Astyanax mexicanus: one gene and its partners. The protein of the gene in region 2 interacts with the protein of the main gene of each other region in a biochemical or structural test. Links are inferred from orthologs where the notes say so. Each region holds a gene or a part of one and is shown on either strand. Other genes may lie near its edges. The genes, in order: pex13, pex5 and D-aspartate oxidase-like.

What was found.
Region 1: the proteins of pex5 (region 2) and pex13 form a complex in vitro, tested with the Homo sapiens proteins (3 studies listed by BioGRID). The link is inferred for Astyanax mexicanus from reciprocal best matches to the Homo sapiens genes PEX5 and PEX13.
Region 3: the proteins of pex5 (region 2) and D-aspartate oxidase-like form a complex in vitro, tested with the Homo sapiens proteins (2 studies listed by BioGRID, with this or other methods). The link is inferred for Astyanax mexicanus from reciprocal best matches to the Homo sapiens genes PEX5 and DDO.

The regions. Positions count from the first base shown.
Region 1 is NC_064421.1:35,743,234-35,746,990, forward strand, and holds the start of pex13 (peroxisome biogenesis factor 13), read right to left. Parts: upstream 2,261-3,757; 5' UTR 2,186-2,260; coding exon 2,115-2,185; intron 1-2,114. UniProt on the Homo sapiens protein: Component of the PEX13-PEX14 docking complex, a translocon channel that specifically mediates the import of peroxisomal cargo proteins bound to PEX5 receptor.
Region 2 is NC_064413.1:6,432,682-6,436,438, forward strand, and holds the start of pex5 (peroxisomal biogenesis factor 5), read right to left. Parts: upstream 2,836-3,757; 5' UTR 2,712-2,835; intron 2,553-2,711; exon of another isoform or gene 2,261-2,552; intron 153-2,260; 5' UTR 109-152; coding exon 1-108.
Region 3 is NC_064421.1:17,749,764-17,753,520, reverse strand, and holds the start of D-aspartate oxidase-like, read right to left. Parts: upstream 2,258-3,757; 5' UTR 2,069-2,257; intron 1,218-2,068; exon of another isoform or gene 1,142-1,217; intron 984-1,141; exon of another isoform or gene 963-983; intron 1-962. UniProt on the Homo sapiens protein: Selectively catalyzes the oxidative deamination of acidic amino acids. Suppresses the level of D-aspartate in the brain, an amino acid that can act as an agonist for glutamate receptors. Protects the organism from the toxicity of D-amino acids.

The DNA of each region.
Region 1 (3,757 bases), on a different chromosome or scaffold from region 2:
TTTGGCTTCATCCATCTTCCCATCAATTTTAACCATCTTCTATGTCCCTGCTAAAGTTGCATTTTGGCCAAAAGGTTCAATTTTGGTTTCATCTGACTGAGCACCTTCTTCCACATGTTTGGTGTCTCCGAGGTGGCTTGTGGCATACTTTAAAATGAGACTTTTTATGGATATCTTAGAGAAATTACTTTCTTCTTGCTACTCTTCCATAAAGGCCAGATTTATGCAGTATACAACTGATTGTTGTCCTACAGACAGAGTCTCCCACCTCAGCTGTAGATCTCTGCAGTTCATCCAGAGTGATCATGGGCCTCTTGGCTGCATCTCTGATCAGTCTTCTCCTTGTTTGAGCTGAAAGTTTAGAGGGATGGCCGGGTCTTGGTGGATTTGCTGTGGTCTGATACTCCTTCCATTTCAATATGATCAGTTGCACAGTGTTCCTTGATATGTTTAAAGCTTGGGAACTCTTTTTGTATTTAAATCCTGCTTTAAACCTGTCCACAACAGTATCTCGGACCTGTCTGGTTTGTTTCTTGGTCTTGGAGTTTGCTGCACTGAAAGTAAAGGGGCCGAATAATATTGCCCCACTTTTCAGTTATTTATGTCAATTTTTTTTTTAAATATCCAGTAAATTTCATTCCACTCCACGATTGTGTCCCACTTGTTGTTGTCAGAAATAAATATTACAATGATATATATTGCAATTTATACTAAAATCTTCAGTTATCAAAACTTGATGCATCATTCCTTGATTCAATAACAGTACAATTATAACAAATTTCCTATATTCAGATGGTAAAAGAAAAACAATACTACCAGTTTTGTAATAGGAAAGGATTTAAATATGGCACACACTTGCATGAAATATTGTTATATAGAGGTGAGAAATAAGCATGCATAATAACAGACTGATAATGTGGAGTAAGAGCAACTAGAAATATGTAGAACATGCCATTTATTCTACTTCAATATTGTATTGTAAGTGCTAAGTTCAGAGAGTTATAATAAAATGGTAGAATAATATTTCTAGTACTTCGGGCTTTTCACAGTATACTAGTTCTATTTTCAGAATTTGATGTCAAATTCAACAGACTATTTGATAATCTGGAGTTAGGGCAACTGGAAATATGCAGAACAGGCTATTTATTCTCCTTTAATCATCTTAAATGCCAAGTTCAGAGGGTCATAATAACAAAATGGTACAGTAATTTTTGTATTTCTATTGAATATTCACAGTATACTAGTTCTATTTTCATACTTTGGTGTCAAATTCAACAGACTATTTGAAAATATGGAGTTAGGGCAACAGGAATCATGCAGAACAGGCCATTTTTTCTCCTTTGATCTTCTCAAATGCTAAGTTAAGAGGGTCATAATAAAAAAGGAACAGTAATATCCGTAGGTCTTTAGACTATTCACAGTATACTAGTTCTATTTTCAAATTCAACAGACTATTTGATAATCTGGATTTAGGGCAACTAGAAATACCCAGAACAGGCAATGTATTCTCAATGTATATGCCCTAAATACCAAACTCGTTTTGCTTGGCTCAATCCTGCTCTCTACTGGCGAATCATTGGTATTTCGACTTTTTAAGGTGGACCGGAAAATCCGAATAAGACATTGGCGAATAAGACGCTACCTATAAGATGTGATTTATATTTGTTATGTATGCTATGTCGGACGGACATTTTGCTATTGCGATAGCAGTTAATGAGATTCAAATATAACAAAAACTTAGGTTAGTTAAGTTAGCTTAAATACTAGTCATAAAGTTTATTCCACCGACAGCTGTAGGTCACCAAACCAGTCAAGACACGTTATAGTTAAAACATGAGTCTGGACACTCTGACACGCAGTTAGGGTCTGTCGATGGACTAGATGTGTATTAAATAATATCAGACGTTTATTATCGGGATTAAAATATGACGTGCTTTGAACTTTCAGTTGCGTAAGAACGCGGTTAGTTTAGCTTAGCTTAGTGTAGCAATCAAGCTAACACACAACAACACAGGGCCTGTCACCTTGCTACAGGGCCAGTTCACACATACGCCTGTTTTTTTTTTCTGTTTTCTGAAAGAAAAGCAGGATTTGGAGAGAACCGTGTTACTGACCGGTAGTTTACTGGGGATGGCATCGCCCCGGGAATTCGTCTCTCCCAGGGTTTTGGAGGCGGCTGAGACATTATTCAGAGGTAACCAACCGACATCCACCCACTGCTGCGCTACTGCTTTCATATGCGTCTGGACTTTACCGTAATTACGGCTGCATAAACTCATATTTCTATTCCGCTAACGCCGTAAATATTCGTGTACTTGTTCCTATAAAAACTTGATTTTACCCCCCTTGAAGGTAACCGCATAAATGAAGGCTTAAGCTTATATATGTAAGACATTTAAGACATTTTATTACTGTAAATATATATTTTATATATTTTTTAATTATTATTTAGAATGCATTAGTTTAAAAATACATTATTTCTATTTTTATTATTATTATTATTATTATTATTATTATTACTACTATTATATTTCTTTATTTTTAACTTGTTCTTCATATGTTTTAAAAATATGTTCTATTTTGTATTTAGCTAGTTATTGATATCGATGCATGTAATATTATTATGCATTGTAAAGATGCTATTTTACTACTACTGCTGCTACTACTATTACTACTATGATACCTATAACAGTTAACTATTTTTTTTTAGCAAATTAGTTTTTTTTTATTATTATCTGTAAATTAGTACTTTATTTTTATTTTTAATCTGGTGTTGCTGCTTCCACTGCTGTCTGTTTGCTGTTGTAATAAGTGAGCTATCCTCTGTGAATACTACTGTGATCTAATTTTCTGACTATCTATATGTCCATGTGTATGGATTGGTTTAACGGACAGGGATAAAGCATAGTACTAGACTATGCAACAGTGTGAAAGGAGTGTCCACATTAAAAGAGATATGTAGTCCACAACTAGGCCTCTACTCTGTCTGGGAAACCAACTATGTCTCTATTATAAAAAGGTGCTAATGGATGGATGGATGGATGGATGGATGGAAAGAAAGAAAGATACTTTATTTATCCCGAAGGAAATTTAGGAATAATAATAACATTAATAATATCTTGCGAGATATTAATAATATCTTCGTTTCATTGTATTATTATTATTATTATTAGTAGTAGTAGTAGTAGTAGTATTATTAGTATTATTATAATTATTAGCAGTAGTAGTTTAAGCAGTGATGGCAGTGTTAGCCTTATTTTAACATACATCACTACAGGACAATAGGAGACAATATTATACCCCTGTTTTCATCACTAGGTGGAACTATTGTGTAACACTCTTTGTTGCTTGACATCTTTTGATTCCATTTTTAATGGGGAAGACTGAAAACTGTTTGACTTATCTGAGTCAAAGAGTCAAAGCTTTATGATATTTTATCTGTGCTTAATAAAGATAACAGCCTTGAGCCAATACAATTCTTTATTGTGTGATTCATCTCCCTGGTTATCTCCATCACTATTTTACACTGTTAATAAGCTCAAAGTATCTCGACACTTCATCTGTAAAATTCTAAGGGCCCTGACTTTGAAAATGAGGCACTGAGAAATTTGAAGGTTCACAGGTAGTATAATAAAAACTTTTTATACACTGTGCACTTTCAAAGTTCTTAGTGCCTCATTTAAATGTCAGGGCTCTTAGAATTCAACAAATAAAGTCTGGAGATACTTTGAGCTTGTTAAAAGGGTAAAAATTGTTC
Region 2 (3,757 bases):
CGTTGACCTGTGTCTCCAAGCTCCCCCCTCTTGAGTCATGTGACTTGTTAGCTTCATGAGGGGATTGGCTCCCCCACATTCCGCCTCCACTAGCTCCCGCATCGCCATGGTAACCCAGGGTCAGGATGGCTCCGACAAGCACCCGGGAGGTTCTGGAAAACAGAGTGTTAAAAGTTAAAAAACATTATTACACTATAGTCCAAACTGGAGCTTCTGGATCTACCTGTCTGTTATCAACAAGGCTGATAAATAAAAAAAACTTTATCATCATCATCATCATCTCTAGAATCAGCTTCAACTTCACCCCTACCCTTCCTCTCGTTATCACTGTCTGACCCTCTGGCCTAATCTGTCCAGTGGCATCAACATATGGTGCCTAAGCTGATTAGGACTAAAACGATTAGCCGCTGGGCACGTTATAAAAGTTGTGGGTGCTCAATATGAAGGTCTCCAAGATGTTGCCCCTGAAAGATACCTGTGGTACATTTAATATCCATGGAAAGCGAGGTCATGTGAACATATTAAACTAGCTATAATTTATTCAACATTTTTATAGGCTATGTTTGCACACACACAGAATGAAAAAGCTCTTTATCTGGGCAGTAAGTGTAATTTAGGGCTGGGCAATATTGTAAAAATATATATTTTTTTATATTTTAAGACAATTTAATGTCAAATTAAGCTCTCTGCAATAAAAAGTACATTTTAATATCACAGCTAGGTCAGGACGATATAGCCAAAACTTATGTCATGATATGTTTCTTAATTTCAGTCCATACGATATAACTGAAATATCGATATTACCAGTATAAAAAGCACCTTCTGTGATGTACATCACACAGTGACAGAGCTAGGTAATATGGTAAAGAAAAAAATATCATATTACAATATTTAAATTATTTTTATGATAAACAGTATGTATTGCAATGTTCTGACATGCAGACAAAAGGAATCAGAAGTTTCAGATTTTTAAAAAGTGCTATTCAAATACTGCTTAGTACAGTGATGTGTAATCAGTGATAAGAAAATGTATGAATGTATAAAATATCATCATATTGCCCAGCTCTAATCAGAGCCTGTATCACTAATACTAATTATATTACTGTCTTCAATAAATGACAAATTCATCTATAAACTTGCTTGGATGGATGGATGGATCATTCATCATAATCAGGAATTTTGTGCTTGCACATAGCTTTTGAAAAAATGCAAAACTATTTGCACAAAAAGCATCTGAACAAAAACTAAACCCCAAACATAAACCTAACGTTTACAGAAGTCACAAATCTATCCAATGTACGTTTTTCGTAAAAATCATCATACAGATTTTCCAGAGAGGAATGAATAAAGTGCTCAACATGCCATCCCACATATAGCCATACCATAGCAACCAACACAAATACCATAGCAACAAACTACAAACTACTCAGCCACACTTTATGAACCATCACTGATTAAATCCACGGCAACATATTAGCAACCACTTAAAAACCTTGGTAACCAACAACAATGCCATAGCAACCACCTAGCAACCATCATATCACAGCTTTAAACCACAGCAATAGAGCTGAGCCACAATCACACACGCAGTCTGTGTAGGAACTGCATTCCCACTTTGGAATCTAACAACAATAATAATAATAATAATAAGATATTTTAGTATATTTTTAAAGAAGATGTTAAAAAAAGACACTATTGGGTTCACCACCGATGTAAACATCCTACTAAACATGTATTTGTCTGTTTTAGGTTTGTTATGAGACTTGTTCCGTTCCACCTTAAATGGTGCAGCAGCTCCATCCTTTTGCTGGATCTATCTGCACCATTTAAGGTGGAACGGAACAATTCTCACCAATCACACACAAATAATGCCACACTCAGCTCTGGTAACAATGCGAACAAATACAATACTTTGTTCAAAACTATGCTCTTCTTATTAATATATTTATTATACACCAGCATTTTAATTGCTAGTAACGTAACGGCTATTTAGCTAGCAAGCTAAACTAAGCTAACCTTGGTTAACTTACACATCAGTGAAGGCTAGCTAACCTAATAAACCACAGGAGGCACTTCCAAGACTGAGGGCACGTAGCTATTAGGACAGCAGCGCATTGTTTAGCTCGCTTAGCTGTCTAATAATCATGTTAACCTTTAACAACTGCAAGTTAAATAGCTTTAAATAGCACTGTTTATTCTTATATACGTGTAGCTACAATGCTAAACGAGTTAATCTAGCTAACCTAGCTAATAAACTCACCGCTCAGCCCACAGCTCAGCACCGGCCGCTCCAGCCACTAACGCCGTCGTTATTACAGCAGTCGCTGGGTTAGCTAGCTTAGCAACCTGCCCAAAAATATGACGCACCCAGGGTCACCTATGGGCTACTTACAAAGCAGAGGCGATTAAGAAGCGGCTGGCTCTCAGGCGAGCCGCTGGGCACGTCCTGCGCTGCTCAGCTCGCCGTGTAAATCTTTATTTATTCACCTGAGGCGCCACTAACTGAAGGCTCTGCATGAATCAACAGACACCACAGTGGTATTCACCAACGCGAGTTACGCAGCTCGAGGCTCCCGCTTGCCTACACGCGGCAGGCGCACGGTGCGTAGCTTACGTTAGATTCCTAAAATGACAGCAGAGAACAGACAGCAAAGCAGCAAAGCAAATTTTCGCTTTAAAACTCGAGTTACTGCTTTAAAACTCTTACTTACTGCTTAACCCCTGCACTCCAAACACTTTAAAGCTTCTCAGCTGTTAAATTCGAGCTGTTTATTCTTTAGGAAAGGTGCTTTAAAAAGTAGCTAGTTACAGACGTCATGTGTTCAAGGACGGATTCAAAGTCCACTGTCTCTCTCTCTTTCTCTCACACAGTAACCCCAGCCAAATAATCACAGTGAGGTAAAGTTTAAAGGGGAATCATCAAGTTGGGAAAGTTTCAGCTTTTCAGGATATTATATTGTATAATGTATAATACACAGTGTTGTCAAAATTGTTCACTCGTCTGCCTTTACACACATAAACCTCCTTGTCAGATTTTAAGTCCTGACTCCACTCTAATTCATCCCAAAGGTGTTTTCTATAAGGTTATGGTAAGGACTCTGTGCAGTCCAGTCAAGTTCTTTCTCACCAAACTTGTTTATTTATGTATGTGTACAGCTTATTAGGGCCACTCTTAAAAAAATAAAAACAATTGACTTAATAACATATCTAAAAAATATATATATAACTTAAAAAAGTTACTTTATTTCAGTAATTCAGTTAAAAATGTGGAACTCACAGGGTGATTTATATATATTTTAGCGTTTATTTCTTTTATTGTTGATGATTATGGCTTACAGACAATGAAAACCCAAAAATCAGTGTGTCAGAAAATAAGAATATTATTATTAATATTTTTATTAAGACCAGTTGGTACTTTTGGCAGAGTGGGATGTGTGCCCAAGTCCTGCTGGACAATGAAATCTGCATCTCCATAAAAGTTGTCAGCAGAGGCAACCATTTAGTGCAGTAAGATTTTCCAGGGAAACCCTGCACTGACTTTAGACTTGATATAACACAGTGCATCAACACCAGCAGATGGCATGACTCTCCAAACCATCACTGATACATACATACTAGTAAGTACTCTCACACAGTGATACAGTGAGAACACATGCCTGGATGCATCGCTGTGGTGCCTGAGAAGCAGTGAGGTTTAAGGGTCTTGCTCAAGAGCCTTTGTGTTGGTCCTCATAATATTGCATCTTTCTTCTCAATG
Region 3 (3,757 bases), on a different chromosome or scaffold from region 2:
ATCGGAAAAATAAAACCCGACTACAACTAACGTTAGTTAAAATGCTAACTACTTCTGCTGCATCCAGCCTCGTAACTTTACCTGGATATTACAGATATTACCTTATTTACAGTATTTATTTTAAGTATTTACACCTGTGAGCGCTTCTAAAACTAGTCTTCAAAACCCCAGAACTATTTTCAATTTCAACAGAAGGACCAAAACAACACAAGACTGTCCCAACAGTAAAGGTAAGCTGCTGTATAAGTTACTCTTTAAAAAAATGTGCTTAGCGCTGCAGACTTTACTGTTTTATTTAAAGTATATATAGTGACTTGTGGACGGGCCTGAACAAATACCTTGTCTTTGGTGACTATTATATTTGGGAGGTTTTATTCGCACAACGCTCTGCACGTATTTGTCAGCTATGTTAATGAAGGTAGAGCTTCATGGAATGGGTTTCCATGGCCTTAGATCACCAACCACAATGCCGGAGAGATGGGGTACTTTTTGCAATATAGAGCTTAGTGTATGTAATTAACTATCTCTCCCGTAAACAGGCTCCCTCTCTTCTCCACGTAAACACTTAGCTACAGTTTAAAACATGCTAATGTTTGCTTTGGTAACACAATCTAACAGACTTTTTTTTATTTTTATTAATTGTTTTGATATAATATAATTTTCTTTCATATAAATAAGACAGTTTTCGGTGCTTACAATTTATAATTTCTCCTAATAGTAATATAGGTGTCATCCATACATAGCTGTTATTCTAGCTCATATATATGCAGTTTAATGCCACAATATCAGAGCAATTTCCTGTTTGGTTTCTTTTATAAGAGATCGGTAGTTTGCGTGGGCTGCACGTGGAAACTGTTCGACTTGACTTCTTAAATATAATAAAATATTTTTAAAACAGTATGAACGTTTGAGGAGAAATTTGAAAATGGATAATTGTAAAGTAAATGTAAGTTGGATCATACCAAGATGCAAAGATGGAAACCAGATACTCGAGAAAAAAAAACTGATAACCGTTACACTTGACCCCAGTCTCCTCTTTTCAAAACCAAAATATCATCCTACACTGAAGCAGCGTTTTAAAAGCTAAGCTCTAGGATACACCTTCAAGTATTGTCATACATGAGAGCAGCTGAATGCTCACCGTAGAAGAAACCAGCAACCCAGTCTCAGCTACAACAAGCAGAGAATCTCTAATAGCGGTGAGAGTACCCACTTGAGGATCTCTTCTAGGTTTGTTTGACCCCAGTGGCCGGTCAAATGTGACTCCAAAATGAATGGACTCATAAGGAGCAAATGAGCAAAATCTGCTTACAATATTAAATGTTTCGGCACCACATACATAATTTTAAAGCTTTTAAAATCTATTAATAAGCTTTTTAAATGTGCTCTCTGATCTCTTGCAGAAATTCTAGCATCAACTGGCCAACTGCGCACAGTAGCAGTAATGCTAGCACATTTAATGCCTAAAACCTGTTTACTGTAGAATATTTGACAAATATATGTAAGCTTACTTTGCTTGTTTAGCAAAACGTATACGTTTACTTAAAAAAATTTAAATTGTTATCTTGGACACGTGGATAGTTACTACTTTTAATCAGTGTTTTTAGCCGTTTGGCTCCATACACTTCCATTCGTTTTGGTCTCCCTCGTGGGCTCCCTCTAGCGGTTCGCAGTATATATAACGGGAGATACGAAGTTGGTTACACATCTCTATGGCTCTGGGCTTTTCATAAACCTGGTGAACTAAGGCGACACGCAGCCAGAGCCATGGCTCTGCACGCAGCTACTCAAAATCTCGCGATATTTATTGAGACGTCTCTAATCCGAAAAGAAAGGTCCTGAAAGTTAAATATATTTAGGTCAGCACAATGTCAATTTCAGGTCCTGGATAGCGCATATAAAAAAAAAAACTGCAATTAAAATGCAACATTTTAAAAGCAAGCGACCAAACCCGTCCCCCTATTCCTTTATTAAAACTGCAGTTTAACGTCAATTCTGCTAAATACTGGAGTCTCCAAACTGGGCATATGTCTGTGCTGAAAGTGCTGCAGGCAGGCTGTGCTCTCACCCCGTTATTCGTGTGCAGGATAATGGACGGACTGACAGCTGCGATTCCAGAACCCGCTCTCTGCCCAAACAGATCCGACCTAGAGCCGCACACGAGGCTGAAGTTGGTTTGATATTCGCAGCTCCAGATTCGTTTGGCTCGATATTCGCAGCCTCGTATTCCCCGGCTGAAGTTGGTTTGATATTCGCAGCTGCCGCTTCACTGAACCACCGTGAACTAAAGGGAGCGTTCACAAACACCCGCTGTTTATATTAAACACCTCACAGATCAACACTGAAGGAGATAGAATGAAGAAAAGCAGTACATCTCTTTATTAACAATGTAAATATACAATATCGTATTAAATGTAATTTTGTATATTGTAAAATATTTATTTTAATTACTGAATTTATAATTATATATTACAATAAATAATTAAATATATATTTAATAAAATTATATTTTAAAAGCCATTGCGCTCAAAAAATATGAGGCAGATGTTCAAGTGTGATTTTGAAGAACTTTTTCATGTTGGGCCAGAACAAATACACATGATCTGAAGAGTACTAGTCTTCTTCTTTAAGGAAAACCTGGAATTAGCCTGGCCCGAGCTGATTTTATACTTTAAAATTAACTGGCAACGTGGCCTACCGATCCATAATGCACAAAAAATTGAATATAAAGCTGATGTTCTAGTGTGATTTTGAAGGACTTTTTAATCTTGGGCCAGAACAAATACACATAATCTGAAGAGAACTAGTCTTCTACTTTAAGGAAAACCTGGAATTAGCCTGGCCCAAGCTGATTTTATACTTTAAAATGAACTGGCAACATGGTATAACGAGCCATAATGCACAATTTTTTTTATGTAAAGCTGATGTTCTAGTGTGATTTTGAAAGACTTTTTCATCTTGGGCCAGACCAAATACACATGATCTGAAGAGTACTAGTCTTCTTCTTTAAGGAAAACCTGGAATTAGCTTGGCCCGAGCTGATTTTATACTTTAAAATGAACTGGCAACATGGAATAACGATCCATAATGCACAAAAAAATTTAATATAAGGCTGATGTTCTAGTGTGATTTTGAAGGACTTTTTAATCTTGGGCCAGAACAAATACACATGATCTGAAGAGTACTAGTCTTCTACTTTAAGGAAAACCTGGAATTAGCCTGGCCCGAGCTGATTTTATACTTTAAAATGAACTGGCAACATGGTATAACGAGCCATAATGCACAATTTTTTTTATGTAAAGCTGATGTTCTAGTGTGATTTTGAAGGACTTTTTAATCTTGGGCCAGAACAAATACACATGATCTGAAGAGAACTAGTCTGCTACTTTAAGGAAAACCTGGAATTAGCCTGGCCCGAGCTGATTTTATACTTTAAAATGAACTGGCAACATGGAATAACGATCCATAATGCACACAAAAATTTTATATAAAGCTGATGTTCTAGTGTGATTTTGAAGGACTTTTTAATCTTGGGCCAGAACAAATACACATGATCTGAAGAGAACTAGTCTGCTACTTTAAGGAAAACCTGGAATTAGCCTGGCCCGAGCTGATTTTATACTTTAAAATTAACTGGCAACATGGCCTACCGATCCATAATGCACAAAAAAATTTAATATAAAGCTGATGTTCTAGTGTGATTTTGAAGGACTTTTTAATCTTGGGCCAGACCAAATACACATGATCTGAAGATTAC